Stegostoma tigrinum: one gene and its partners. The protein of the gene in region 1 purifies or fractionates together with the protein of each later gene. This does not show direct contact. Links are inferred from orthologs where the notes say so. Each region holds a gene or a part of one and is shown in the gene's direction. Other genes may lie near its edges.

What was found.
Region 2: the proteins of tubulin alpha-1A chain (region 1) and T-complex protein 11-like protein 2 purify together in Homo sapiens (affinity purification with mass spectrometry; 3 studies listed by BioGRID and IntAct, counting the BioPlex papers as one, with this or other methods). This does not show direct contact. The link is inferred for Stegostoma tigrinum from reciprocal best matches to the Homo sapiens genes TUBA1A and TCP11L2.
Region 3: the proteins of tubulin alpha-1A chain (region 1) and dnajb11 purify together in Homo sapiens (affinity purification with mass spectrometry; 3 studies listed by BioGRID and IntAct, counting the BioPlex papers as one, with this or other methods). This does not show direct contact. The link is inferred for Stegostoma tigrinum from reciprocal best matches to the Homo sapiens genes TUBA1A and DNAJB11.
Region 4: the proteins of tubulin alpha-1A chain (region 1) and dnajb6b purify together in Homo sapiens (pull-down; 3 studies listed by BioGRID and IntAct, with this or other methods). This does not show direct contact. The link is inferred for Stegostoma tigrinum from reciprocal best matches to the Homo sapiens genes TUBA1A and DNAJB6.

Annotation. Positions count from the first base shown.
Region 1 is NC_081404.1:13,027,757-13,035,639, reverse strand, and holds the start of tubulin alpha-1A chain, read left to right. Parts: upstream 1-4,875; 5' UTR 4,876-5,009; coding exon 5,010-5,012; intron 5,013-7,376; coding exon 7,377-7,599; intron 7,600-7,728; coding exon 7,729-7,877; intron 7,878-7,883. UniProt on the Homo sapiens protein: Tubulin is the major constituent of microtubules, a cylinder consisting of laterally associated linear protofilaments composed of alpha- and beta-tubulin heterodimers.
Region 2 is NC_081378.1:36,829,938-36,837,681, reverse strand, and holds the start of T-complex protein 11-like protein 2, read left to right. Parts: upstream 1-4,743; 5' UTR 4,744-4,853; intron 4,854-5,510; exon of another isoform or gene 5,511-5,635; intron 5,636-6,534; exon of another isoform or gene 6,535-7,069; intron 7,070-7,744. UniProt on the Homo sapiens protein: Promotes the migration of muscle-derived satellite cells (MDSCs) during differentiation throught interaction with FMNL2 and therefore may participate in microfilament assembly.
Region 3 is NC_081360.1:29,052,079-29,060,008, forward strand, and holds the start of dnajb11 (dnaJ homolog subfamily B member 11), read left to right. Parts: upstream 1-4,919; 5' UTR 4,920-5,097; coding exon 5,098-5,162; intron 5,163-5,427; coding exon 5,428-5,584; intron 5,585-7,930. Other genes in the region: tbccd1 (TBCC domain-containing protein 1), read right to left, coding at 1,662-1,836. UniProt on the Homo sapiens protein: As a co-chaperone for HSPA5 it is required for proper folding, trafficking or degradation of proteins.
Region 4 is NC_081355.1:140,060,035-140,067,037, reverse strand, and holds the start of dnajb6b (dnaJ homolog subfamily B member 6b), read left to right. Parts: upstream 1-3,988; 5' UTR 3,989-4,133; intron 4,134-7,003. UniProt on the Homo sapiens protein: Has a stimulatory effect on the ATPase activity of HSP70 in a dose-dependent and time-dependent manner and hence acts as a co-chaperone of HSP70. Plays an indispensable role in the organization of KRT8/KRT18 filaments.

The DNA of each region.
Region 1 (7,883 bases):
TGAGACCTCTCCTGACCTCCGAGGTGAATGCAAAGATCCCAGGATCACTGTTCAAAGAACAGTGGGCAGATCCCCTGGTGCCTTGCTAATGTTTATCACTTAACCAACATCACTGAAGACAATGTTATCTGGTCATCATCACATTGAGTGGTGTATGCAAATTGCTGACTACGTCTTCTACAGTACAATGAAGACAACTGGAGTGCTTCATTGGCTGTAAAGTGTTTGGAAGACCCTGAGATTATGAAATGCAAGTTTCTTTCTGTTCTTACAAACTAAACTGACTCAATTAGATGCCGTGATAACAAAGTGTGAAGCTGGATGAACACAGCAGACCAAGCAGCATCTTCTTTTCTGATGAAGGTTCTAGGCCCGAAACGTCAGCTTTTGTCCTAAGATGCTGCTCGGCCTGCTGTGTTCATCCAGCTCCACACTTTGTTATCTCAGATTCTCCAGCATCTGCAGTTCCCATTATCTCTGATTCAATTAGATACTGATTCTTTTCTTTCAACTCTCTCTGAAAGATATTGCACAATTATATAGGGAAATTGGATTGTGGAAGTGCCTACAATATCCTAAAAAGTGAATTGCAAATACTGTTTTATGGATGTGACAGCAGTCGTATGCTCTGATGTGATAAAAGAGGCTTACAACCCACCAGGGTGCCAAGGCAGTCTCCATGGTAACAGAGCTATTCATCTCCTAGCGACAGGATTGAAAAATTGACTGTCCATTCTAATTAGCTTTCCAACATGCAATCTAGGAGAGGCAAGCTGTGTTGAGATTACTGACAGTGGCAAATCTGACATGCTCTTGAACCAGTAAACAAAAGAATTGTGGAAATAATTTAATTATTTGTCCTTAAGTTTCATTGTAGCAGAAATGCGTTATTATAAAGGAAAAATGTTCTTCTTACTATTCATAAAAAACAATCAGCAAGCCAAAAGTGGCCCAACAGGATTCACATTTCTAATTATCTATCTGTCGATTTAATAAACCCAGGGTCAGCGATTGATTGATCGGTATCTTGGGCAGAATCAATGGCATTGGTAGACAGATTTCTGGATTAACATGTGTACATTTGAAGATGGCTGTGGTTCTGCCAGTAGGCAAGTGGATAATGCAGCCAGAAAATTAAACCAGAAAGGTCCTTCTGAATTGCCTGGGGAGTAAGAGGGATACTTCAACGTCTCCAAACTAAAGAATATCAGTTATACTTTCAGCTTTCCTCAGTGACTCTTGCTGAGAAGGACACATAGATAGCAGATGAGCATTATCATCAGCCCTGGCTGAGATTTAACCTATCATTGAACTACATATCAACAGTCACCATCTAGAATGACACAAGGGACAGCAAGCACAGGGGTGACAAGTGAATGGAACTTGATCCGCATTTGGAAATGGGCAGCAGAGTTTGGATGCCTACAGGTGAAGTGAACAGCTTGTAATCTGATTTCAGGGATCAGAAAACAGGCTGTATATCATTCTATATTGGTTCCTGGTCCACTTAAATCTAACTTTTTAAAATGGTCATTCTTGTATTATTCATTATCATTGCCTCACTCCAACATATCACTGTGTTCTACTCCAACTCTCCAAGAACTCCATGTTCTTTCAAATCTCCACCTCTTTTAACACCATCACTATCAACCATGTCTTCAGCCATCATAGACATGCAGCATAGAAACAGGCCCTTCAGCCCACCATGTCTATGCTGAACAACAAATACCAAACTAATCCCATTTACCTGTGCTTGGTCTGTAGCTTACTATGCCGTGGTATTTTAAGTACTCATCCAGCTGCTGCTCATATGTTGTGAGAGTAACTGCCTCCAGCACCCCCTCAGGCAGCATGTTCCATATTTCTACCACACTCTGGGGGAAAACGTTTTCCCCAGATTCCCTGAAAACCACCTACTCCTCACTATAAACGTATTTGCTCTGGTCTTAGACATATCTGCATGGGGAAAAGATTCTTGCATTGACCCTACCTATGTCTTGCATGATTTTGTACGCTTCAATCAGATCCCCCCGTCAGCCTCCTCTGCTCCAGGGAAAACAAGTCCAGGCTATTCAGTCTCTCCTGATAACTAAGACTTTCCATCCCAGGCAACATCCCGATGAATCTCCTCTGTATCCTCTCCAGTGCAGTCACATCCTTTGGATTTGGTGATTAGAACTGCACACAGTTCTCCGTCTGTGGATTAACCAGTTCTTTATAAAATTGTAACAAGACTTCCTTGTTCCAAATTCTATACCCTAGCTCATGAAGGCAAGCTTCCCGTACACCACCTTCACCGCCCCGTCTGCCTGTGCTGACACCTTCAGGGATCTATGGACTTGTGCACCAAGGTCTCTTTGTTCCTCAGTATTTGCTAGCAACTTACTATAGTCTCATAATTCTCCCAAATAACTATTGTTCTCTATATTCATTTAAAATTATTATTGTACACCAAATGTTTCTCCTTCATTAGATCATTATTGCAGTGCAACATTTCTGAAGTGTGTTATTTATCTAGAAGATTCTGTTGAACAAAGTTATGGATTGAATTTCAGCTGCCTGACATTTGTTGAAATGGAGTTATTTGTCATGAATTAGTTGATCTTGGGGACTGTAACTGCTAAAACTAACTTCAGGACCAAGAGCCAGGCAGGGTGAAATCAACTATGATTCCTACTCCGATTGTGAAAATCATGATACCAGAACTGTGAGGCTATACCCATCAGGAAAGGGTGAATAGGCTGTCTGTTTTCCCTTGAAAAAGATTAAGGGGTGAGCAAATAGCGATCTTTGAAAGGATGAATTTTTTTTATGGATACTGAAGGAATGTTTCCTCTTGTATGGAAGAGTATAGCCAGAGGTTAGCAACATGAAAGTCCCCAGGAAATCCAGTAGGGAATTCCCAAGAAATTTCTTCACCCAAAAGAATGGTGAGAATGTGGAATTCATTACCAGGGAGTGGCTGCAGGGAAATAGCATAGATTAATTCAAGTAGAACCTAGATGGGAATCTGAGACAAAGGGATTGGAGGGTTTTCTAATGGAATTGATTTGGGAAGGATGGGAAAAGGATCGTATGTGGATGGGGAGATTGGATTGTTTCCGTGCCCTCTTATTCTGCGTGGCTCCATATCACGCCATGTAGCAGCACGGTTGTGCCCTCACTCTCCTGACAATGACAAGCGATGAATGGCTGTTTAGGATCAACCATGTGAAAAAATGGTTACTTGGGTGATGTAGCAAATGGCTCATTGTGACTACCTAGTGCTCTCATCCTGAGGAAAAGGGGAGAAAGCAGTCACTGCAGAATGAATCACGTAGAACGCTGTAGCTGCAGTGTGAGTCACATGTTACACGAGCGACCATTCTTTTGAAATGCATAATTGTTACTGGGGGCGAATAATAATTTTTCCCACTTTAGAAAATATCCAGATATGGTTTTCTGCCCGTACAAATAAGACAGCGAAATTTGACTTCCACATATAACAGGCACATTTATATGTTCAGATAACATCAACAAATCTATTGGAGACGCTTACAATACAATCGAATCTGGACCCCTCCATTTCGAGACACAAACTCCCTCCATCAGCTGATAGGTGTGATTGAAGCTTACACCGGGCTAATGTCTGGTGTAATAATCAGCTTTATGCCTTCTCTACCAGCAAAGAAAACTACGTCCCTATATCCAGTGTGTAGGACTGCCTTTGTCTGTTTGCTGAAATATGCTACTCCGGACAGTCAAAATCACCTAAAATACAATAGAATAAAAATAATAATGCTCGTGGGAAATGTTTTAAAATTCGTTTTTTTTAATAATTCGACAAAATCAGGAATAGACTGTTTCTCTGAAACCGCTTCAATTTAAAATAGTTACACTGTATTGACGCGTGTCCAGCACAAAAGACTGAAAAATCCCCGCCCCACCCTGTCCCATTCCACAGCCAGTTTCGTAACATGAAACAATAGCAACAAGAGACAAAGTTGCTATTACCAAGGAATCCGTTTTATTTTGTCTCCCGATCCTGCCCCAATGGAGGGCAATATTTGCGGCGAAGTTTGTCGGGATGTGACAGTTTAGAACTGAGAAGGCGCCGTTAACAGAACGCGCTGGCCGAATTGCAACGTGTAGAACATTTTCTGATACAGTGAGAGAAACAGCAATTCCGTCTTATATCGTTACAAAGAGCTAATGTAACAAACTTCACGAATGTAACAAACTTCACGAATTATTGTATTAATTTTACAGTGGCCAGTAAATAAAATACCACCTTTTTACATGCAGGTTCTAGTCGTGTAATTCTGCTAAAAGATTGAACGTGGTTTGTAAAAGAATGCATTATTCGTTGGGGGCGGGAAATTCCTTGTGTAAAATAGATGGAAACGTGGCTTCGTTAATTATGAAAAACTTTTTAACGAAGAGAATAGTCAGAAAATTGTTAATCTGTAAATTGGTATTTATAAGATATTTAATAATTTCCTTCATCAAATAAGCAGTTCAACGTAGTCCATGATGTTATCAGTGAAAAAATATTTCCTTTGAATTTCTCTTTATAAGGCAAGGCCATCTTATTACTTCAGAAGAACAGTGGTTTGATTAATTGCTGAGGTATTTTATCCTCTGAAAACCGGAATCTTACTATTTCGTCGCCAGTTCAAATGCTGTTTTCTCAAATGTCAGCCTTTGTTCCAAATCACTCGTGGTCAAGGCGATTAGTTTATTCAGGAGCGTCTACCCAATCAGAACCCGCGAAGCGGTTAACGGAGCATGTTTCCTCCAATCAGAGAGTCAGCATTGTGATAGTTCCTCGTCACTCAAACAGACCTCCTCCAATGGGAATGGCTCCACTGACCAGGACCCGGTGTCTGGCCCCACTATAAGAACATGTCTCTCCCAGCTGAGGGTAGGTTTTTTCTTACGACGACCCGTAAAAGTCGCGCTGTAGGAAGAAGTCGCTGAAGTCCTCTCTTTATTCCATTTGTTTTGTCTACTATCAAGGACCAGGCATCATGGTAAGATGCTGTTTAATACAAAAAGAGTTTTCTTTCTCCCCAGCAAGCTACACGTTGGAATTTCGTGTTGTAAGACTTGTTCTCGTTTTTAAGCATCTTAATTGTTGTTTTTAAGTACACTTGTCTGACTTAATTTCTAAATTCCACTACGCAAATCTCGTGAACATAAACATCACGGGATAGCTAAATGCGGTCCGAAGTGAAAGGAACGGAAGAAAGGCTGATAGCGTGGGAGGTGGCTCATGTGAGCATAAACCGACCAAATGATCTGTTCGTGTTGCAAATACAATGCAACAAACTACGTTGCCTGTGAATGATTTAATTACAACGGGAATAACTTGCTATCAAAGATAGTGTACACGTACGCTATTCGCATGCAATTTTCCGTCAATACAATCAATTTCACACTTAATGCTAAGGGTGATGAAATAAAGCCATTTCAATGGACTTCTGCAAGTAATGTTATCCGGAGGGAAAAAATCCGTTACACTTAACAGCGAATTTAAGATCACTTCTAGGCTTTTCGCTAGCTAATCGCTGCATATGTCTACAAGGATATGTGAAAGAGATGTTGGAACACAATGGGCAGTGACTCTCAACGTGCAGAGGGTGTGAGCTGAATTTGGCATACTTCCCCCCCCCCCCCCCCCCCGACCCCCGAAATTGCTTTGTGTCGGGATTACTGACGTTTCCACACTTACTGCTCAATGGCTTGTCAACCATAGCTACAAACTGAAAGCTTTCGTCCCCATTCCCTAGTGAAATCACTGTAGGGCTGCTTAGTAACAGTACACGTCAGTGACGGTCATACGTGGACACAAAGCCAACGTCAACACGAGGTCACCGTGAAATAGGCAGCTTTTGTACATCGTAAAGCTGTGCTAAGAATCAAACTACGGATAATGGAGCCTGTCTAAATTACTGGGCTTAAAGATAAAAAAGATGGCGGTGTAGGGGAGAGTGGTTGTAATCCGTCTGCTTCCCTTCTGGGAGGGGTCGGGGGGAGGGGAGACATGGCGGCAGTTGGAGACAATCTGCACTGCAGTATGACCCCACCCAAATTCAGCATCCGAACCAGAAATTCTAGCTAGTTTGCGTATTGCAATGCTAAACGCAAGAATTGCACGGATGTGCCCTTTTTCTGGCCAGTATCAGGGATACAAGATCGATTCCAGCTTCGGGTGACTATGGAATTTGTATGTTTTCCCCGCTTCTGTATGGGTTTCTGCTGGTTTTCCCCTAACAATCCAAAAATGTGCAGGTTAGTTGGATTGACCGTGTTAAATTATCTATGGTGTTCACAGATGTAGGCTAAACGGATTAGCCACGGGAAATGCAGGGATGCGGAGGGTTTTAGGTCGTATGCTCTTTGGGGTGGGGTCGGTGCAGATCGAGGGGCCAAATAGCCCCCTTCTGCATGTAGGGATTCTGAGATTCTCCATGATACACGATTTTTTTTCATTTTAAAAAAAACTTTGGATTTATACAGCAATCCCATTCTAGGTTATAACTGTTTTTACAGATGGGTCTAGTGGGTTGTAAAATCGTTACTTGTGCTTCAATTTTTTTTCAGGAAACGTCTAAATCAAGTATCCTCTTAAATGTATACCCAAGAACAATCATTGATTTCAAAATAAGATTTAATTTCTTTGAGAAATGTCAACAATTGCTAAAAGCATTAAATGTATGTTGGGATGGTGGAGTACACTTTATGAAGTAATTGTTTTATCATAATTGACACTGATGCAATATTGAAGATGGCATATGCCGATTGCTAAATGGCTGGGTGATGTGCTTGATTTCCATATTACCTGCAAATCTGAAATACTAAATTTCAGTTCTGTTTCAGTCCCAACTTGAGTTGCGTGCCTGCCCCTTTCATATGTCTCTCCAGCATGAGTTGCACTCCTGTCAAGTATATGATACTTAAATAGAAGTTGACCTGATGCAGTTGAACCACATCTGTATAGGTCAAGCATAGACCTGATGCATGTGACCACAATGGGAGTAATACCACCCCCTCAAATGCTTTCCAATACAGTGTCATACAAGGAATCCAATCAAGTACAGATGCTTCTCATAAACTACATGTCTTCAGCTGCCTCAAATTGCTATGTGGTTACCTATCCAGCCTTTACATCATTCATGACTGTCCTAACAACTGATTAGTAAGACATCTGTGGCAACAATCAGATGTATTTTGCTGATGGAGGTAGCATCTGCCTGCCTACCCATCAAGGGAGTAGTAGACTTTCTCCTAAAGGTAATGCTTACCAGAGCATGAATGCAGTAAAAGTTTGTATGGAATGTTTTTAGATCAGATGTCAAACTAGTTGATCACCACTTTGTTTGTTTCTCTTACAGCGTGAGTGCATCAGTATCCATGTTGGCCAGGCTGGAGTCCAGATCGGAAATGCCTGCTGGGAGCTCTACTGCTTGGAACATGGCATCCAGCCTGATGGGCAGATGCCCAGTGACAAGACCATCGGAGGTGGAGATGATTCCTTCAACACCTTCTTCAGTGAAACAGGAGCAGGCAAACATGTTCCACGAGCTGTGTTTGTGGACTTGGAGCCAACTGTAATAGGTAGGTGAGGGGCATGTGTAACACTAACCGTGCAGACCTCTTCTCTGGTTATGCCACATGAGCCTGATTTCATCTTGTGGTTACATGTGTTGATTGTAACACTGAAATTGCACTGTCTCTCGATCCTAGATGAGGTACGTACTGGTACTTACCGCCAGCTGTTCCACCCTGAGCAGCTGATCACTGGGAAGGAAGATGCAGCTAATAACTATGCCCGTGGTCACTACACAATTGGCAAGGAGATCATTGACTTGGTTCTGGACAGAGTTCGTAAACTGGTGAGT
Region 2 (7,744 bases), on another chromosome or scaffold:
CTGCCCTCATTCAGGTGAGTGGGGAGCATTCCATTCCTCTCATAACTTGTGCCTTATAGATGGTGGCAGACTTTGGTGAGTCAGGAGGGGTATTTCTCACTGAAGAATTCCAAGTCTCAGACCTGCTGTTGTAGCCACTGTATTTATGCGGTTAGTCCAGTCAGTTTTTGGTTATTGGCAACCATCAAGATGTTGATAGCTGTGGGATTCAGTGATGGTAATACCATTGAATTTCAAGAGAGAGATGGTTTGAGTCTCTCAGAGATGGTGCTTGGCAGTCACTTTTGCATTATGAATAATACTTGTCTGTTTGGGTTCTGCAAGAGTCATTCAGCTCGTGACCTTGTTACAGCTTTTGTCCAAACATGGACAAAAGAGCTGAACTCCCTAGATGAGGTAAGAATGACAGTCCTTAACATCAAGGTCACAGTTGCCTGAGTGTCATCAAGAAGCTCTGGGAAAACTGGAGTCAATGGGAATCAGGGGGAAAACTCTCTAGCACAGAGGAAGGTTGTTGTGATTCTTGGAGGCCAGTCTCAGTACCAGGATATTGATGTGAGAATTCCTTAGGGCAATGTCTAGGTCCAACTGTCTTCAGATGATTCAAGTGGGGCAACCAACTCACCTCCTGTCTGCCCAATACCTGTCAGCAGCTTAGTGGAATACTGTGTACTTGACTTAATAGATGCAGCTCCAACTCAAGAACATTGACACCAACTAGGACATAGCAGCCCACTCGATAGGCACTGTTGCCATCAATCACCATCAACATTCTTTCTCCCTTTGTGCATACTGTTGACATGACATATTGATGGCAGTCTACAAATTCCACTGAAGTAACTTAAGACCCATTTGACATCATCTTCTTAACTTGTAAATTCTGCCATAAATAAGCACAATAGCAAGAGTTACATGGGAACAACCCCACCTGCACGATCCCCTACAAGCAACACAGTATTCTGTTTTGGAACTAAATCTCCATTCCTTCACCGTTGTTGGGTCAAAATCAGAAACACCCTTCCTAACAGCATAGTAGGTGTACTTAGCCTATATGGACAACTGCAGTTCAAAAAGGCAGCTCTAATGAACAGTTATAGATGGGTAATAAATGCTGGTCAGCCATACCCCCATGAACAAATAAAAATAAGCTGATAACTGAAAGGATGTTGATATGCCTACAAGGGCCATGTAACAAAGCTGGCTCCAGTACTTTTAGAAGAACTATACGCATTAACATAAGCTTAGCACCACCAGAGATACAGTAACATTCCTCCAGCTGTGAGGGATAAATAAATAAAACAAAATACCTCTATTGAGCGAAGTGTCTGTAGGCTCCTGTTGTTAGTAATACAGCCCATGTATTGTATAACTTTTGATTCTCAATATCACAAAAGGGTGGAGTGAAGTAAACATTTCTGCCAAATAAACTTTTGAATTAATTTAACATGAATTTGTCAAAATATAACAAGAGTCTTCTGGAAGTTTCTGTCCACTGAGCAGCGACAAAACCCAGAACATTACTTTCCTATATGCATGGTGCAATTTGTACAGTTCCTCTCATAGTTTGTGTTTTGTTAGAATTTAATGTGCATTTCTTGACCAAGTGTGAATAAAAATTATTGGAAGTACTCAGTGGGTCAGCCAGCATCTTTTGAGAGAAACAGAATTAACATTTTGAGTCAATGACCTTTATCAGAACTGAGAAGAAATGTAAAGTTTCAAAACCAGTAGATATGGGAGAGGAGGCTGGAAATAATAAAAACTAGGGTTTGTGATAGGGGTGGGAGATTAACAAACAAAAGATTTTGTGTTCAAAATCTAAAGAAAATGATAATGGGCATTATAAATAGCGAAAGATCATGTTCAGGTTAGGAGATTAAGTAGGATTGGCTATATAGTAACCATCTGCATACAATATATCAGGATAAATAATGAAATAAACCAGCAAAATAAAGTACAAGGAACAAGTTGGAGGCAGAACTCTTGTTCAAATGTTACTGAACACAGTATTGAGACCAGAAGACTGAGAAATGACAGATGAATGCTGAGATGTTATTCTCTGAGTTGGTATTGTGCTTCTTTGGAAAATCGTACTTGGCCATGGACAGAAAGATCAGACTTGAAGCAACATGAAGATTTGCAGGAAATGACAGGAAATTCAGGTCATGCTCGCAAATTGAACAGGTGTTCTGCAATGCGGTCACCAAGTCTGCATTCAGTCTTCCCAGTGTAGAGCACAGTACATCTTGAACAGCACTTTCAATGTGTTACATTAGATAAAGTACAAGGCAATCACTGTTTCACATTTTATTTATTCATGTGGAATGTGGATGTCACTGCCTGGGCCAGCATTTATTCCTCATTGTTAGTTGCCTTGAGAAGGTGGAGAGCTGCAGGCAACTTGGAAGGGACAAAGTAGAAAGATAACTGTTACATCTTCCAAGATAATAAAATGTGAGGCTGGATGAACACAGCAGGCCAAGCAGCATCTCAGGAGCACAAAAGCTGGTGTTTCGGGCCTAGACCCTTCATCAGAGAGGGGGATGGGGAGAGGGCGCTGGAATAAATAGGGAGAGAGGGGGAGGCGGACCGAAGATGGAGAGTAAAGAAGATAGGTGGAGAGAATATAGGTGGGGAGGTAGGGAGGGGATAGGTCAGTCCAGGGAAGACGGACAGGTCAAGGAGGTGGGATGAGGTTAGTAGGTAGATGGGGGTGTGGCTTGGTGTGGGAGGAAGGGATGGGTGAGAGGAAGAACCGGTTAGGGAGGCAGAGACAGGTTGGACTGGTTTTGGGATGCAGTGGGTGGGGGGGGAAGAGCTGGGCTGGTTGTGTGGTGCAGTGGGGGGAGGGGACGAACCCAACCTGTCTCTGCCTCCCTAACCGGTTCTTCCTCTCACCCATCCCTTCCTCCCACCCCAAGCCGCACCCCCATCTACCTACTAACCTCATCCCACCTCCCTGACCTGTCCGTCTTCCCTGGACTGACCTATCCCCTCCCTACCTCCCCACCTATACTCTCTCCACCTATCTTCTTTACTCTCCATCTTCGGTCCGCCTCCCCCTCTCTCCCTATTTATTCCAGCTCCCACTCCCCATCCCCCTCTCTGATGAAGGGTCTAGGCCCGAAACGTCAGCGTTTGTGCTCCTGAGATGCTGCTTGGCCTGCTGTGTTCATCCAGCCTCACATTTTATTATCTTGGAACTCTCCAGCATCTGCAGTTCCCATTATCACTGTTACATCTTCTGTTGTTACATAGAAAGGTGCCAGGATTTGTTTTCCTACCTTGTGCCAGGATTTGGGACATCTGCTTTGGGCTAAAGGGAATCTTCCACTGGAAGTGGAAGGATCCACTGGTCAAGATCCCCATAGACAGCAATAATATAGGTAGAACTTGGAAAGAGGTTCTGCTGAGTGTGAACAGCGAGGGACTAAATTAAAAGCAGGTAGTAGTATTTTGGGGGAAAGAGCGTCACAGAAAGCAGCAAACTATAGATCTAAGAGCCTTAACATCAATTGTAGGGAAGGTGCTTGATCCATTGTGAACAATGTCCAAGCAGAACACTTAGAAAATCACAGTGATCAGGCAGAGAGAATCTTTGTGAAAGGGGAAATCGTGTTTTACCAATCTATGAAAGTATTTTTCATAAAGTAATGTCAATGGTAAATGGAGGAAAACCAGTGCATGTTCTCTATTTGGATTTGTAAAAGGCATTTGGTAAGGTGCTACATCAAAGGTAGCTAAACAAAATAAGAACATGTGCTATGGGTGTAGCATATTAGCTTTGATTAGCTAACAGGAGCAGAGAATAGGATTGAGTGAGGTTGTGTGTTGGCAAACTAATGAGTCAAGTGCCTCAGGGAGCACTGCTGAGTCCTCAACTAAAGGTAAAGTTGGTGTAGTTCTACTGGACCATACACCTGCTCTCTCATTAGAGAGAGATAGAGAAAGAGCAAGAGGGTGAGAGAGAGAGAGAGAGAAAAACACCTGGTGGTGGTTTAAGCTGAATGTCACCACATCTCAAGTGAGTGGAGAGGTTGAGAAGGAGAGTTCTTCTAGGTAACCATAAATGGTGTGTGATTTGAACCCACACTGTTGGCATCACTCTGCATTGTAAATCAGCCATTCAGACAACTGAGCTGACCAACCCTCTACGTACAATATAAATCAATAATTTGAATGGGGGATAGACTGTGTAATATCTATATTTCCCAATGTCTTCAAAATGTGCGGCAAAGTAAGTTGTCAACGGAGAGATCCACAAAAGGATATATACAGGCTAAGTGAGCAAAAAATTTAGCAAACGAACTATAACATGGGAAAATGCGAACTACACGGGGAAGGACGCGTTGGGGGGTGACTGAGGAGTGGATGATAATGTCATGGGAGGAGAGTAGTCCTCATGAAAGGGCAGAGAATGGAGGGGATGTGGTCGGTGGCATTGTGAGGGAGCTGGCCATCAGGGCAGAGAGTGGGGCACCTGTCAGTCCCAGCTCTATGACCTGTTGCTGTGTGACTGATGTTAGAGTGGCCCTGCCTGATGGGCTGAGGGAGGCTAGCTCAGAGCGTGGAGGGGGGAGGGGGAGGGGGAGAGTGTGTAGCGTTTGTCTGTTCCCATGGAGACGAGGGCTGGCGGCCGTCACGTGTCCCCCTTCTCTCCTAGCAACAATGTAACGTCTTCGGCGGCACGTCACATCCGTCAACAAATAGGTCGGGGCTGTAGCTCCGGGAGGAGAAGATTGGCCTTGGGGTGGGAGGGGGGGACAACCTCCGTGGGGGCAAGGAGCAGCCGCTGCCGCCCACATCGTATAGAAAGGGCGTGGGGGCGCTGCTGAAAACTTCTCCACGCCAGGGTAAGGGGGCAAAGCCCCACCGGCAGAGCGGATCCGGAGGTGGGGGTGACCGATAGCCTGTCACTTGGAGGGGAAGGGTGTGTATCAGGGCAGTAGCAGCAACCGCCCCCACCCTCACCCTCACCTCTTCTCTTGTTCAGTCCCGGAGTCCCCCCCCCCCCCCCCCCCACCTTTTGCTTGCAATGTCTACCCTCTAGACCAGCCACCCACCTTGCCCCGAATCCGATGACCCCACGGAGTGGCCCTTTAAATCCGAGCCCTCTCATCCCCGGCGTTCCCGTAAACACGGGTGACAGCCGAAGCCCAGTATACTCCGCTCAGTTTCCCCAGGGGGCGGGCTAAAGCTGGCACAGCACCGTCCCAGCTGCTGCCGCTGACACCGCGAGTGCCGGGCAGCTTCTCCCCCGTGTGTAGCGAGTTCAAGAAACTTGTTTTCATAATCAACTTGTTTCGAGATGTACTGTGCTCTGGTTGGGGAATTGAACCCGTGATCCCCTTGCTCAGAGTTAGGGGCATTACCACTGCCCCCCCCCCCCCCGCCAAGTGCAGCGGGAGGAGGCTGGCAGTGCTGCTTATGTGTGTTTTTCCGGCTTGTTATGGTCTCTCTCTTTCTCTCTCTCTCTATCCGATCACATGAGCCTGCATGACGTGGAAAGAGGAGCTTTAAAAACCAGCCTCAGCTCCCCATCTACGGCTGTGTTATTGCACCGAGTGCAGGAAGAGAGAGAGAAAGGGTATTGCATCCCTTCACTGACCATTCCCAGTCCTCCAGCTGCTCCAAGGTTTTCGATTACAGTCCCGGTTTGCTTCAGCGTTTGCGGAGTTTTGTGTTTACATGAATACTTGGACTGAAATGCGGCATTCTAAATTTAAATTCTTTTGAATATTCAGTACCTCAAAGGTCATGCTTGAGTGGGTGAAAGCAGTTTATTTAGTGGTTATTAGAATTACTGCGTTATATTGTGCTAAGTGCATATTTCTTCCAAAAACTCGTTCTTTTTACTTGAAACCAGGGTTTAGAGGTGATCGTATTTGTTGTTGTTAGTCCAGTTTCAGAGAAATTTAGAGATGGACATGTTCTCTATTGAATGTGTTTTTCAGGTTGAACATGGAAGAGGGGTCGGGCGGTGGGGATCGGACGAGAGGATACAAACGGAACTTAGTTCCTATCTTTAAGTCAGTCATTATGTCTTTAGGAATTTACAACAATTACAAAACCATCCTGTTTACTATAAAATGTCTTGTAATTACACAATTCTGCCAGTGGCGGTACCGTAGCTCTTACTAGGGGGAAGGTCAAATTATAAAATGACATTTCTTCCGTAGTTAAATATGTAAATATAGGCATCAATAATGGAGACAGTTCCGTACGATGTAAGATGGGTAATTTTAATGGCCTAGTTTATTTATGTAGCATTTATTCTGTACATTAAATCAACTGTAGGGAGTAATATTGTAAACAAACACCACTCAGTTTTGCAGTTAAAACTATTAGAGATGAGATGCACAGTGAAACGACTGGCATACACCAATTATAATGGGATATTACATGGGGGGGGGTTATGTTTGGCATGTTTTATTGTAGTTTAAGCATGCTCGGAAACATTTGACCACTACCCTGATATTCCCACTGGAATAGTAAACAGTTTTTTTGAATGTTTTGATCTTTTATAATCATCTGCAGGTAAAGTCTGCTATCCAAAATTGTTGACTTTGCTTAATTGAGATCTGAGATGAACTGTTTCTCAATAATCTTCTAAACTAAATGGTGAGAATCAGTGGTAGGCCCATACGACCTGAAAGATTCCAAATTCGATTTCCTGATGTCAGCGTTACTTCCTATAACTCCGTTCATTGGGGCAGCTGTAAAGATCAAACCGTTACCGTCCATTCCTATGAGTTAGCCATTGAAAGATTGACAGGGTCCCGATCTATGTTCGTAAACCCTATTTGGGAATGTACAGATCTCCAGTGGACATAGCTGCAGTGCCTCAATGGTTGCATTTATGGGCACAATCTGATTTGCTCCGATGTTTCCATGGTGAAATAGTGAGCTGACACTAAATTTCACGCATGCCTCATGTTTGTGAATGATACCGCAGTACAGTACTTGAAACTGGGGGATATTTAATGTTGACAACGCCAAACAACAGAAAATGTACACGCTCTTAATTATGAGCTGGTCTTCGAAACAGGCTGAAGGGAGGCAACAAAAGGTAGATGCTGCTGTTTTCGCATAAATCAAAATTTGCATGATTTACAAATTAAAAACTGTGTAATTTATATACCAGCGTTTACAATCTGTTTGTCCCAAAGTACTTGACGGCATTTCAAAAGTGTATAAATTACCTGTAATGTCAAATGCTACAGCCATGGAGCATGTAGCAAGCTGCCTCATTCACGGATATGCTATTAACTGAACAATCATTTTTTTTCAGTACTGTTTGAGAAATAAATATTAGTCAGGACATCAGGAATATCCTCCCTTGCTATTCCTTTAAATAATATCTTGGGATCTGTTATACCCACCTGAGAGGGCCGATGGGGCTTCACTTTTTCATTGTTGGATCTAAAACTCCGTCAGTGTGCAGTGGAAGGTCTGAGCTGTATATTTATGCTTAGGTCCTGGAGAGTCACTTGAACCCACTAACCTCTGACTCAGATGAGAATGCTACCAAATTGTGCTCAGCTGCTACAATTTAATCTAACTGGCAACTTTATTCAATCATGAATTATGCTGTACACAACAGCAATGCAGTTATGAGCCTCTTGACCACTTTTCATGTTTTCAAGAGACTTTCAAAATCTGCCCACAATTTTGACCTGTCTTGCCACACAATTAGTTCCATCATTTCTCCATTTCACACTAACATCATACTGCTTGTGTAAGT
Region 3 (7,930 bases), on another chromosome or scaffold:
TAGAGTACCATTTCATAAATGAAAGTTCAAATCCATCCACAGCAACTGGGGAATTTAAATTATTTGACATTTGCCATCTTGAGTTCAAATGCAGGTAGCTTTGCATAGTGCTTTGGCCCAGTTTCTCTGGCTAAACATACAATTCTTCTAGCATAATACAACCTTCTTACTGTAGTTCACTGTTTATTGAAGTGGCAGCTGTCATAAGGGAGGTGCTGCTCAGGAACAGGCTCTCTGTTATCAAAGTTTAAGGTACAGTTGGTGGCTAGGGTGTCAATGTGGCCAGGCTCTATGTACTGGACAGCAGAGGAGTGGGCTGAACAGCACCAGTGCAATTGGATGTTACAGCATCAACTAACAACCACTACGCATCCAAAGCCTGTGATACTTGAGGAACTCATGGGGGTGGGGCGTCAAAGTGGCTGGAGTGTCTGGTGAGCTTCCAGGTGCACTGATTCCTTTTTGTTTGGAATTTGACATTGGCACCTGAAACCAAAACCTCCCTTGGGATCCTGCATCACACAATTTACCTTTTTATCTTTCAAAACAACAGTGTTTTCCTGTATGGGCTGCTGCACAATTTCCACTTCCTTTTTAGAGATAACAAAGTGTCGAGCTGGATGAACACAGCAGGCCAAGCAGCATCTTAGGAGCAGGAAGGCTGATGTTTTGGGCCTAGATCCTTCAGTAGATAAAATGATGAAAGGTCTAGGCCCGAAACGTCAGCCTTCCTGCTCCTATAATGCTGCTTGGCCTGCTGTGTTCATCCAGCTCTACACCTTGTTATCTTGGATTCTCCAGCATCTGCAGTTCCTATTATGTCCTGGAATAAGTTTTTACCTTCTGGCAACAGAAATACCCAGTGGACAGCTTTTTTATAAGGAAATCCTCTTCTTTCCATCAGGGATATGGGATGGAGAGTGTTACCTGCAGTAGTATCAAGCAATTTAAATTTAAAGTAGATTTACAGGCCACATTTAGCTTTTGTGACTTGGGGGAATAAATTTTTTATGTTTTTGTTTGGAATAACTTTTGTTTTTTTTAAAAAAGGGGTTGCTTTTAATTTTCTGGTTGCACTTCTGCCCAATGCTCCTGATTTATGGGCACCCTGAGAGGAGGAGGGGTGGACAGATCAAAGCACCTCCTTGTGGGATAGCTGCTCGGCATGGCCAAAGTGGACATCAACAGACTTAGCCAGCAGGCTTTGGACGGGGTGGCGGCTCTTTGCTGGTATCTGCCCCTTTTCTGAGGTCCACCAGCTCAATGAGGCCTTTAGGGGCCAGCAACCACGTTTTGATTTCGCTCTTACAAGTTTCCCTTAACCTTTTGTATTTCAGAGGCTATCTGTTATAAATCAACGTTTGTTTATTTAAAAGTGGAGATGGGGTAAGAGAAAAACAAGTCGTTTTCAAATATGCAGATTTAGCGAGAAGAAAGGGATGAACGTGACTATATACACATGCAGTTCAGATGCAAAAGGGAAAGATAATTATTAAGAAAGCAAATACAAAACAACAGTTGGACACCGTGTTTCCTGCTAGCAGCGAAGCAGTTTCCTTCCTCTCAGCACAGCCCTCCTGGGTCAGGGAAGAGGAATCTATCCGGCCCCTCAGTCACTGCAATCCCTACATGAGTCAGACCATTAACACGGCGCTCCTTACCAGGCCCGCGGAGTGTCCGGAGCTGGAGCTGGAGCTGGGCCCAGCCAGGCGGCGCCTGTCCCTGCAGTCTCCGCCGCCGCTCGCAGTGTGCAGCTCCTAGCCCGAGACACGACGGTGGGCGGCGGAACGGAGGGCTTCGGCCCACCAGAGGCAGGCGTGGCGGTAGCAGCAGCATCCTGAGGCCGTACTGCTACTTGCAACAAGCCTGTTGCATATCATCGCAGTTACAAACGGATAGGACTAACAGAGACTTTATCTCATACACAGACCGAACTACGCACATTTACAATAAGTACACCCCGGAATATCTACAAGGCGATGCAATTCTGTCCACACCTGGCCATTTCGCTATTTGGGGACTTTAAACAAATATGTTTTTGTTTGAGCTTTGGTCTTGGTTTCAACGCAACCAAGTTTCAGTTGTCTTACTCTAGCTTGTCTCGGTCACATTCCTGTAGTCGATCCGCCCGAGTCTTAACCAAGTCTTACTGGACGACAATAAGCAGGACTTTGCATTTTCAGTGTGTACACAACCTCTAGGTACTTGAAATAAGCACTTGAAAATGCTTTTAAACGGAGCAGTTTAGGCGGCATCTGCGAAGATGGAGAGACAGTGAACGTTTTCTGATACAGGACCATTCGTCGGAGCTGAAAAAAGTTAAAAATGTTCTACCTTATATTGATCCTTCTAGCTCGTAGGCTGTTCCACAAAACCTGAACCGTTAATTCTATTTCCCAGCATTTTTCTTCTTTTCTGTCTCTATATATCCACATTGCAGTATTCTGCTTCTTTTCGATTGCTTGGTACTAACATTAGATCCAAAAGGTTGTAGTGACCCTTCGTCCAGCGCTCAAACCACTCACGTGGGGCACAAAAATCTGGAACCTTATACCGGCTCCCAAAATAAAATGTTTTATCAGTAAACAGAAAATGCTAGAAATACTGAACCTCTCTGGTTGCATCAGGTGGAAAGAAAACAAAGTTAATATTTTAGATCAGCTATCCTTAAATTTCTGACAAATGCTGCCTAATCTGCAGAGTATTTTCAGCTGTTTTTTCAGTTTCCAGCAACAATATTTTACTTCTGTTTCATGAATTAACCTATGGCAATTTTACCTTCCCATGTTTCAGTATGCCTGCTTCACTAACTCTTGTTGAGAGAGTGGTCGAGGAAATTAGATATGAAAATGTAAATTATAAACATCTCCAGCATAAAAATTTCTTCCTTTCCTGACTTAGTCGATTATTTGAAGGGATGCACAAGAGATATCTCCATAGTGATACACACAACTTAGATAAAAAGGAGAGCCTGCAAAATACTGAAAATTTGATACAGAACCTGGAATTCTGCTGATAGGTTTATAAATCAAGAGTCAATTCTGATGAAGACACATAATTGAAATGTCATAACTTGTTTTCCTAATATATTTGTAGTGCTGTTTCCTCTAAATGCCTAGGTTCTGAGTTCAAGTTACACTCCAGGGCTTGAGCACAAAAATCAAGACTGAAATTTCCCGTACAAAACTGCAGAAGCATTGTACTGTTCGAAACAGTATGTCTTGTGGATATGGTGGTAAACCGAGGTCCCATCTGCCTGTTTTGTTGAATGTAAAATATCCCTTGAAACTAATTCAATGAAGAACAGGTGTATTATCCCTGGAGGCCTGGCTAACATATATCCCTCATAGACATTTTAAAAAATAAGCATAATTTGGTCACTATCCCACTGCTGTTTTTAAATTTAGATTTTATTGTCACATATACTCAGGTACAGTAGTACAATGAAAAATGTAAAAAGTCACCATTCTCTAGTGCCATCTTAGTATAAAGAGAGGAGGAAAAACACAAACAGAAATAAAAGAAACAGGCAAAACAAAAGGAAATGTCTAGATCACTCCCCCACCTCCACCATCAGTTCTTGCTCCCAGAAAAACAGTCACAAAGTCCATCCCTCAGTCTGCAAGTACTTAGATGCTCCAAGTCCCCACACATCACTGCAGCCAGAATGCCACCGCCTCTACTGTCAGATACCTGGGCCCAGCCACGTCCTGGAGCCCCACCACCGCCACTAGAACCGTGTCAGCACTGTTCGGCACCATCTTACTTCCACTAACATCGCCACCACGAGTCCGAGCTGGGTCAATCTTGGCAGTGCTGCCACTGCTGAAGCTCCCAGGTTTCCAAACGGGGCTCAAACTCCAAGTTGGGCACAGCACACTAAAGTGGCCAGTGCCTCATTCTAGCTTATGTTGCTGCCGCTTGTGGGAGTTTTCTGAGTGCAAATTGATTGCAATGTTTCCTAAATTACAGAAGTGACAGTACTTCATAGGTACTTAATGGGCTTCAAATTGCTTTGTGATATCAGGAAGTCTCAAAAATTGCCTTATAAATACAAGTCTTTTATTTCACAATAGTCAGATTTTTTCTCCTTATGAGTCTTAATTGATCCAAATCACAATCCTACAGGCAAAATGGATTGTGGATTATTTTGAAGTTTCATAATTTATTTTATGAATCCAAGATCTTTGAATACATTTATGTAAAAGCAAAATCCATCTGGTAAGGAACAAAAACTTACATTAATATTATAGCTTAGTAAAATTTCCTAAGATATTTCACCAGGTTGTACTAAGAAAACTAAATGGAGGTGACCAAGAGGAGATGCTTTTGAAGATGGAGAAAAGGTAGCAAGGCAGTTTAGAGATGCTATATATAATTGCAGACATCAAACAATAAGTTTATTTAGAATCACAGAACATGTCCACCAAAGATGACCATCTGTATCATCTTATTATTGCCAACGCACACAATTTTACTCAAAATTAGAATCTTACTCGTCCTCAAATAATTATTCAATCTTCTCTCAAAACACTTATCCACTAACGGTATTTTCCATTTTCCGGGAAGAATCCTAAACACTTCTTGGACAGCACTGTGATGCAACTAAGCTTTTGAAATAAAAAAAACTGACACAGGACTGTACATTTTCTAACGCAATAACACTTCATCATTTAACTTTAACTCAGTCTTACATGTTTCAACTTTAAAAACCTAACACGAAGCAATTTTTTAAAAAAGGCGAAAATATAAATGAGATTTTCCACCTTGTTTATTTTTAGTTCCGTTTTTGACTTATTAGAATTCTGTGCATAATTTCCTGCACGAACACACACACACAACTATACCCCCGTGCCCTCCTCTTCCTCTGCCCAACCCCTTTCCCGGTACGATAGCAAACGAATGAGAAGGTCTAGCAGTTGGAGTACGAGCTTGGACTCCGCCCCTCCTGAAAGCGTCAGGCATGAGGAAGCGGCGATGCTGTTAGGTTGCCTCTGCCGGTAGTTGCCGCTAACCAGCTCGTAGAGAGTAACGTGGGCAGCGGAGCCAAAACAACAAAAAAAAGAACAAGGAAGGGAAGGAGGAAAAGTGTGCAGCATGGCGGCGGGTGTGCGCTCTGTGTGTATTGTGCTGCTGTGTCTGAGCGGGGAGGTTCTGACAGGGTAAGTGAGAGGGAGAGATCTCCAGCTCAGGTTCCTGCAGCTCTTCCTATCTACCTTCACTTCACTGAATGAATATCATGGGTATTAACGCGTTAGAGTGACCCCCCGGTGTGATCATCGGGTGGGAACTTGTTCAGTTTTTTAACAAACAAAATTTTGCCAAGTGCGTTGTTCATCAGTCACTGAAAGGGCTGTAAGGTCTTATTTCAGTTGTGTGTATTTTCTTCATATCTCGTGTTTTTTTTTTGTTTGTGTCTGAGGACAGCCGGGATTTCTACAAGATTCTGGGGGTATCTAAAAGCGCCTCGGTGAAGGATATCAAGAAGGCTTATCGCAAACTGGCACTGCAGTTGCACCCCGACAGAAACCCCGACGATCCGGCAGCGCAGGCTAAGTTCCAGGATTTGGGGGCTGCTTATGAGGTACTGAGTAGGGGCAATGTAGGCTGAGTGTGTGTGCAATACCAGTGTAATGGTATGAGGGAGGGTTACCCGTCAGGTACATTTCGGCCTTTCCTTGTGAAGTCTCAGTCACTTCTTTTTACTTCTGAGTTATAGTGATGACAAATCTGGGAGACTGTGTGGCTTCAGCTCATTGGCTATTGGTGAAGGGGTGAGAGGTCACACTATAATCCAAGCCTGCTGGAGCAGCTGCTGTAAGATTCTCAATTTACATATTGTTTCAGTTACACATTTGCAGATCTCGTACACTTTTTAGTTTAACGTCTTTAAAACTGCATGTCCTGAAACAATACGACTATCAGTGTTTCTCCTAATAATACTTATTGTCTATTTTATACGCATGTCGTGTTTATGAATGGTAGGACACTTGTAGTGCATTTAATAGTTGAGGGCCTCCAAGTATGTTTAACTGACTAAAGCTATTTATGAAGCTTAAGCTTTTGTGCAAAGATTGTTCACTGACCTTCTGCCTAAATCTTAACACCCTCGGAGCAACAATTTATGTGAACTTCTTCCAAATTTCAGGAAGAAAGGCCTACCGTGATCACAGAATATCCCAATATTCTTTAAACAAATGAAGTTCTGTATTCCTTGATCTTGTTGGGGCCTCTTCTATAGTCTGGAAACTGAACATCACTTAGGTAACTTCTGCTAACAGTCCTCTGCTTTTGTCTGAAGATGTAATCTTGAACTCCCAATTTCTTGCTACTTCAGTTCTTTCTCCAAGTTTAACATCTATCTTTAGCTTTCTGTTTTTTTAATTAAGCTCATGAACTGTCTTTCTAAAATAATGGAATGGTTATAGCATAGAAAGAGGTCATTTGGTCTGTCATGTCAGCTGGCCTTCCAAAGGAGCACTTCATCTAGAGCCACTACTGTCTTTTTCGTGTAGTGCTGTAACATTTTCTTTTCTGGATAATGATCTAATTCCCTCCTGACAGTCAAAATTCACCCTACTTTTGCCACTCTCGGGCAGTGCATACCAGATCCTAACCTGTGTGAATGTTTCTCCTTGTGTTGCTATTGTTTCTTTTGCCAAATATCTTAAATCTGTTTTGTCTGGTTCTTGATCATTGCATTGTTGTTTTGTCCCTATCTGAACTCTGAAATTTTGGATAACTGTATTAATCTCCTCTTCAAGGAGGAAGACCTTCAGTCTGCCTTGTGTAACGGAAGTTTCTCATCCCTGGAGGCATTTTTTCTGCATCCCCTCTAATCTCTTCACTGGAAAATATGGTGCCCAGAAATAGATGTAATAGTCCAGATGAGGCTGAGCCAGTATTTGTAGAGGTTTAATAAAATTTATTGCTTGTTGACTTTACGACCATTAATGAAACCTAGGATGTCCCATCCTTTATTCGTTGTTCACTTGATGTGCCTTGCCATGTTAGGAATTTTCTTACATATTGACTTGGTCCCTCTGCTCCTGGTCTCTTTTTCAAAATTTGCATCTTTTACTTTGTATTGTTTCTCTGCTGCCTTCATGCTAAATTAATCATTTCACCCACTTCTGCATTATATTTCTCCTTTCTGACCATTTCACTATGCATATGACTTTGCTATCCTACACCATCTGCTTCATTGTTCACAATGGTTCCAAGCTTTGTCACTTGCAAATTTGGAAGTTTTACCCTATACAGGTTAGTAATTTGTCAGGTACTGTCGGTGTCCTAACAAATTCTTGGGGAAGTCATTCTTAAGTGGTCATCCTGTCTGAAAACAAACATTCAGCTGTTGTTTCCTGTCACAGTCAATTCTGGACCCATGTAGCTACTGTCCCTTTCATTCCATGAGTTCTAACTTTGATCATGGGTTAATGTGTGGCACTTTAACAAATATATTTTGGAAGTTGATAGACGCTATAAAAACAGCATTATCTTCACCACTATGATACCACTCAAACTCCTATCAAGTTGGTTAAACATGATTTACCTTTAACAAATCCACATTGGATTTCCTTAATTAACCTGTATTTACTTAAGTGACTAATAATTTTATCCAGCATTATCACCTCAGTTTTACCAGCACAGATTAAATTGACTGGCATGGAGTTGCTGGACTAGGCAATTTTCAACCCTCTGGCTATTACATTGAATTAATGTTTCACAACTTTGTACAGATGCCATTTGGCAGCCACAGTTAATGAGTGTGCTGACATTTTCAGGACTGGGGGAAGGAGCAAGTTAATATTTGGGGTAGGATTTAACCACCCTTGGTGTCCATTATCTTTTTCCCCCCTTAGTAGAGTCACAGGAACCTGCGTGATCTTGCTTTTTATTCATGGCTCCTTTTAATTTTTAGTTATTT
Region 4 (7,003 bases), on another chromosome or scaffold:
CTTAGAATTCTGTGGCAAGTAACTCACGTCCTAAGTTCCCAAATCTAATCTATCTTCTACAAGACACAAATAAGGAGTGTGATGAAATACTCCCAATTGCCGGGATGAGTACAGCTCCACAACACTCAAGAAGCTTAACACCACCCAGGGCAAAGTAGTCTACTGGAATGATACTAATCCACCACCTCAAACATTCAGTCCCTACACCACCTCCACACAGCGGCAGCAACATGTGCCATCTCGAAGAAGTGCAGCAGTAACTTACCAAAAGATAGTAAGTACTGCAGATGCTCGAGTCAGAGACAACACAGTTTGAAGTTGGAAAGTTGGTTTTTCGGGGCAGGACACTTCTTCAGCCCAGTCCTGAAGAAGGGTCCTAACCCGAAACATCAACTTTCCTGCTTCTCTGATGCTGCCTAACCTGCTGTGTTTCTCCAGCTCCACACTGAGTTGTCAGTAACTCACCAAGACTCCCTCAACAGCACCTTCCAAACCAGTGGTCTCCAACATCTAGAAGGACAAGGCAACAGATACACAGGAGTGCAACCACTCACATATTTCGTTCAAAGTTACACACCATCATGACTTGGAACTATAATTGCTATTCCTTTACTGCCACTAGATTAAAATTTGGGGAACGGTGTCCTGCTAGTACTGGAGGTATTTTTGCTATCTTAAGGTCAACATCAGTTAATGAAAGGGGCTTACCACCATCTTCTCAAACCAGGACAATAAAATGCTGGTCTAGTTAACAAGACCCACATCATATGACTGACCCAGATCAACTATGAAAAGAACGCACTCCAAAAAGAATATATTTCCCTCTTTGAAAGAATAAGATGGATTAAAATTAATACAGTCATTTTCAGAAAAAGGATGAAACATAGTGTAGATAAGTGAGACATGAGAAATCTACTGCGGAGTTGTAGAATAATTACTGCACAGAAGGAACTTGTTTAGCTTGTCGTGTTTGCACCAACTCTTTTCAGGAGCAATTCACCAAGTGCCACTCCTTAGTCCTCAAGCTGTGGCACTGCACAACTTTCCTTTTCAAATAGTACCCCAACTGATTTTTGAATGCCACTAGCAAACTCACAGGGAGTACATTCCAGATTCTAACTATTTGTTGCATGAACATTTCCCATGTTCATCACTTTTTCTTCTAGAACATAGAACAGTACAGCACAGTACAGACTCTTTGGCTACACTGTTGTGCCAACCTATTATCCTATTAAGATCAAGCTACCCTGCATACCCTACATTTTATTATCAACCATGTGCCTATCCAAGAGACACTTAAAAGTCTGTAAAGTATCTGACTCCACTACTACTGCTGGCAGTGCATTCCATGTGCCCACCACTCTCTGTGTAAAGAACCTACTTCTGACATCTCCCCTGTACCTTCCTCCTATCACCTTAAAATTATGCCCTCTTGGACTAGTCATTTCTGCCCTGGGAAAATGTCTCTGGCTATCCAGTCCATCTATGCCTCATGATCTTGTACACTTTCCTCAAATACCTTTAAAATTCATGCCTTCATAGGCTTGCTTCTTCCTCTCTACTGTGTTAAGCTGCACTTGATCTTGAATATCTGTACCAAATCAAGAAAAAAGAGTTACCTGGTTGAACAGAACTTGATATAGTTGAAACAGGCATTTTGACAGAGCTAATGGGAACTGCAGATGCTGGAGAATCCAAGATAACAAAGTGTAGAACTGGATGAACACAGCAGGCCAAGCAGCATCTTAGGAGCACAAAAGCTGACGTTTCGGGCCTAGACCCTTCATCAGAAAAGGGGGATGGGGAGACGATTCTGAAATAAATAGGGAGAGAAGGGGAGGTGGATAGAGGAGAAGATAGGTGGAGAGGAGAGTATGGGTGGGGAGGTAGGGAATGGTTTGGTCAGCCCGGGGAGGATGGACAGGTCAAGGGGCGATTAGTAGGTAGGAAATGGAGGTGCGGCTTGAGGTGGGAGGAGGGGATAGATGTGAGGAAGAACAGGTTAGGCAGGCTGGGACGAGCTGGGCTGGTTTTGGGATGAAGTGGGGGAGGGGAGATTTTGAAGCTAGTGAAATCCACATTGATACTAATGGGCTGCAGGGTTCCCAAGCGGAATATGAGTTGCTGTTCCTGCAACCTACAGGTGGCATCATTATGGCACTGCAGGAGGCCCATGACGGACATGTCATCTGAAGAATGGGAAGGGGAATTGAAATGGTTCGCGACTGGGAGGTGCAGTTGTTTATTGCGAACCGAGCAGAGGTATTCTGCAAAGCGATCCCCAAGCCTCCGCTTAGTTTCCCCAATGTAGAGGAAGCCACACCGGGTACAATGGATACAGTATACCACATTGGCGGATGTGCAGGTGAACCTCTGCTTAATATGGAAAGTCATCTTGGGGCCTGGGATTGGGGTGAGGGAGGAGGCGTGGGGGCAAGTGTAGCACTTCCTGCGGTTGCAGGGGAAAGTGTCGGGTATGGTGGGGTTGGAGGGGAGTGTGGAGCGGACAAGGGAGTCGCGGAGAGAGTGGTCTCTCCGGAAGGCAGGCAAGGGTGGGGATGGAAAAATGTTTTTGGTGGTGGGGTTATTGTTTTGTCCAATTTCAGCAATACTCAAATCAAGAACACAAGAACAATGAGTAGGCCATTTGGACACTTCAGCATGTTTTGCTGTTCAGTAAGATCAAGTTGATGTGACTGCAGTTTTCAACTCCACTCTCCTGAGTGCCCTATTCCCGCTAACTATTTCCTCCCACTTATCAAATATCCACCCAACTGCATCTTGAACCAATTCAACCACTGGATCCAGAGGAAGTAGACTCCAAGCGTATTATCTCAGTCTTAAATGGATCACCTGCTATTTTGAAACCATGCTCTGCACTGTTCCATCCGCTTAGCATCCATCGTGTCAAGTAACCTTAAGATCTAAAGTCACTAGGAGACAGTAGTAACCAAAGATGCTGGAGTCAGTGTCAATACAGTGTGGAACTGGAGGATCACAGCAGGTAATGCAGTTTCAGAGTTACAGGAATGTCGATGTTTCAGGTTTACGCCATTCCTCTAGACTGTCTCCCTGATGCTGCCTGATCTGCTGTGTTCCTCCAGCTCCACACTTAACCTCAAGATCTTATAAGTCTCATTCTTCTTCACTCTATTAAGTACTTGCTGAACATTTCCTCATCCCTAAAAAAGGTGGGATTATTGTGAACAAATAAGGCTGATGCCTGCGTGTTTGGCTATGCATAAAGAGGATCGCACAATGTAATGTCCAACCACTGGGCAACAGAGCCCAGGTGGAAATTCCAACAGTGTCAAAGGTGTGTTCTAGCCTGTACTATCATAAAAACTTAAGAATTAGGAACGGGAGTAACCTCAAGCGTGTTCCACCATTCAATAAATCATGGCTTATCAGACATTCCTCACATCCACTTTCCTGCCTTATCACTATAACCCTTTATTTCCCTACTGATTAAGATCCTATATTAGCCATAAACGCACACAAGAACTCTTGGTTCTTTGTGGCAAACAGTCCACAACCCTGTGAGAGAAGAAATTCCTCCTCATATCAGTCCTAAATTGGGGCCAACAACAAAAACAGAAGTTGCAGGAAAAGCTCAGCTGGTCTGTTATCATCAGTGAAGAAGAAAAAATGTGTACTGAGCAAGGGGTCACTGGTCCCGAAACGTTAAACTCTTGAGTTTTTTTCTTCACGGATGCTGCCGGACCTGCTGAGCTTTTCTAGCAACTTCTGTTTTTGTTTCTCCCAGCATTGACCCTGTCAAGCCCCTTACGAATCCAAGATGTTTCATTGAGATCACCTTTCATTCCTGTAAACTCCAGTGCTTTGTTTTCCCCGCTTGTGTGGTGAACGATTAGCCGGCTTCACATCACCACCACGTGATACCAGGCCACCGTTCTCTCGCCATTTTCCAGAAATTTCAAAGGTGACGTCACATATGAGCAGCGGTCGGGCGACGTCATAATGACGCAATAACTGCCAAAAGGAAGTGACGAAGCGGAGATTTTTTTCCCCTCTCTCCGTTCGGCGGCCGGTGGATGTTTCTAGAGCGGGAGTTGTTGGTGAGGGCGAAGTCTGGGTTGTAGTAAGTCGGAGCAGGCGTACGGAACCGAGAGGTGAGACCTTAAAAAGAATACTCCAGGATAGCCTCCCAAGCGCGTAGCCGGTCGCGATTGTCGTCAGCTCAGATTTATGCTGGCAGAGGGGAGTGAGGCCGAACGGGGGAGGCGTACTGCCAGCGAGAGAGAGAGAGAGAGAGAGAGAGAGAGAGACAGAGACAAAACAAAATGGGTGAAAGGCCGTTGGTTTATCTAAATGCGTGGGCCTTTCGGCCTTGGAATAAAGCTGATTTCGCTTGAGGAAACAGGTTGTTATGGAGATGGGGTGCTGACCAAAGAAAACAAAAGCCTCTCTTCCATTCCTGTATTCTCCAACTTGTGTATGTCTTTGTCTGTCTTCTCCCCTGCCGCGTGTGTGTGTGTGTCTCCGTCTACCTTCTCCCCTGCCGTGTGTGTGTGTGTGTCTCCGTCTACCTTCTCCCCTGCCGTGTGTGTGTGTGTGTCTCCGTCTATCTTCTCCCCTGCCGTGTGTGTGTGTGTGTCTCCGTCTATCTTCTCCCCTGCCGTGTGTGTGTGTGTCTCCGTCTATCTTCTCCCCTGCCGTGTGTGTGTGTGTGTGTGTCTCCGTCTATCTTCTCCCCTGCCGTGTGTGTGTGTGTGTGTCTCCGTCTATCTTCTCCCCTGCCGTGTGTGTGTGTGTGTCTCCGTCTATCTTCTCCCCTGCCGTGTGTGTGTGTGTGTCTCCGTCTATCTTCTCCCCTGCCGTGTGTGTGTGGGTGTCTCCGTCTATCTTCCCTGCCGTGTGTGTGTGGGTGTCTCCGTCTATCTTCTCCCCTGCCGTGTGTGTGTGGGTGTCTCCGTCTATCTTCTCCCCTGCCGTGTGTGTGTGGGTGTCTCCGTCTATCTTCTCCCCTGCCGTGTGTGTGTGGGTGTCTCCGTCTATCTTCTCCCCTGCCGTGTGTGTGTGGGTGTCTCCGTCTATCTTCTCCCCTGCCGTGTGTGTGTGGGTGTCTCCGTCTATCTTCTCCCCTGCCGTGTGTGTGTGGGTGTCTCCGTCTATCTTCTCCCCTGCCGTGTGTGTGTGGGTGTCTCCGTCTATCTTCTCCCCTGCCGTGTGTGTGTGGGTGTCTCCGTCTATCTTCTCCCCTGCCGTGTGTGTGTGGGTGTCTCCGTCTATCTTCTCCCCTGCCGTGTGTGTGTGGGTGTCTCCGTCTATCTTCTCCCCTGCCGTGTGTGTGTGGGTGTCTCCGTCTATCTTCTCCCCTGCCGTGTGTGTGTGGGTGTCTCCGTCTATCTTCTCCCCTGCCGTGTGTGTGTGGGTGTCTCCGTCTATCTTCTCCCCTGCCGTGTGTGTGTGGGTGTCTCCGTCTATCTTCTCCCCTGCCGTGTGTGTGTGGGTGTCTCCGTCTATCTTCTCCCCTGCCGTGTGTGTGTGGGTGTCTCCGTCTATCTTCTCCCCTGCCGTGTGTGTGTGGGTGTCTCCGTCTATCTTCTCCCCTGCCGTGTGTGTGTGGGTGTCTCCGTCTATCTTCTCCCCTGCCGTGTGTGTGTGGGTGTCTCCGTCTATCTTCTCCCCTGCCGTGTGTGTGTGGGTGTCTCCGTCTATCTTCTCCCCTGCCGTGTGTGTGTGGGTGTCTCCGTCTATCTTCTCCCCTGCCGTGTGTGTGTGGGTGTCTCCGTCTATCTTCTCCCCTGCCGTGTGTGTGTGGGTGTCTCCGTCTATCTTCTCCCCTGCCGTGTGTGTGTGGGTGTCTCCGTCTATCTTCTCCCCTGCCGTGTGTGTGTGGGTGTCTCCGTCTATCTTCTCCCCTGCCGTGTGTGTGTGGGTGTCTCCGTCTACCTTCTCCCCTGCCGTGTGTGTGTGGGTGTCTCCGTCTATCTTCTCCCCTGCCGTGTGTGTGTGGGTGTCTCCGTCTATCTTCTCCCCTGCCGTGTGTGTGTGGGTGTCTCCGTCTATCTTCTCCCCTGCCGTGTGTGTGTGGGTGTCTCCGTCTATCTTCTCCCCTGCCGTGTGTGTGTGGGTGTCTCCGTCTATCTTCTCCCCTGCCGTGTGTGTGTGGGTGTCTCCGTCTATCTTCTCCCCTGCCGTGTGTGTGTGGGTGTCTCCGTCTATCTTCTCCCCTGCCGTGTGTGTGTGGGTGTCTCCGTCTATCTTCTCCCCTGCCGTGTGTGTGTGGGTGTCTCCGTCTATCTTCTCCCCTGCCGTGTGTGTGTGGGTGTCTCCGTCTATCTTCTCCCCTGCCGTGTGTGTGTGGGTGTCTCCGTCTATCTTCTCCCCTGCCGTGTGTGTGTGGGTGTCTCCGTCTATCTTCTCCCCTGCCGTGTGTGTGTGGGTGTCTCCGTCTATCTTCTCCCCTGCCGTGTGTGTGTGGGTGTCTCCGTCTATCTTCTCCCCTGCCGTGTGTGTGTGGGTGTCTCCGTCTATCTTCTCCCCTGCCGTGTGTGTGTGGGTGTCTCCGTCTATCTTCTCCCCTGCCGTGTGTGTGTGTGTGTGTGTGTCTCCGTCTATCTTCTCCCCTGCCGTGTGTGTGTGTGTGTGTGTGTGTGTCTCCGTCTATCTTCTCCCCTGCCGTGTGTGTGTGTGTGTGTGTGTCTCCGTCTATCTTCTCCCCTGCCGTGTGTGTGTGTGTGTGTGTGTGTGTCTCCGTCTATCTTCTCCCCTGCCGTGTGTGTGTGTGTGTGTGTGGGTGTCTCCGTCTATCTTCTCCCCTGCCGTGTGTGTGTGGGTGTCTCCGTCTATCTTCTCCCCTGCCGTGTGTGTGTGGGTGTCTCCGTCTATCTTCTCCCCTGCCGTGTGTGTGTGGGTGTCTCCGTCTATCTTCTCCCCTGCCGTGTGTGTGTGGGTGTCTCCGTCTATCTTCTCCCCTGCCGTGTGTGTGTGTGTGTGTGTGTCTCCGTCTATCTTCTCCCCTGCCGTGTGTGTGTGT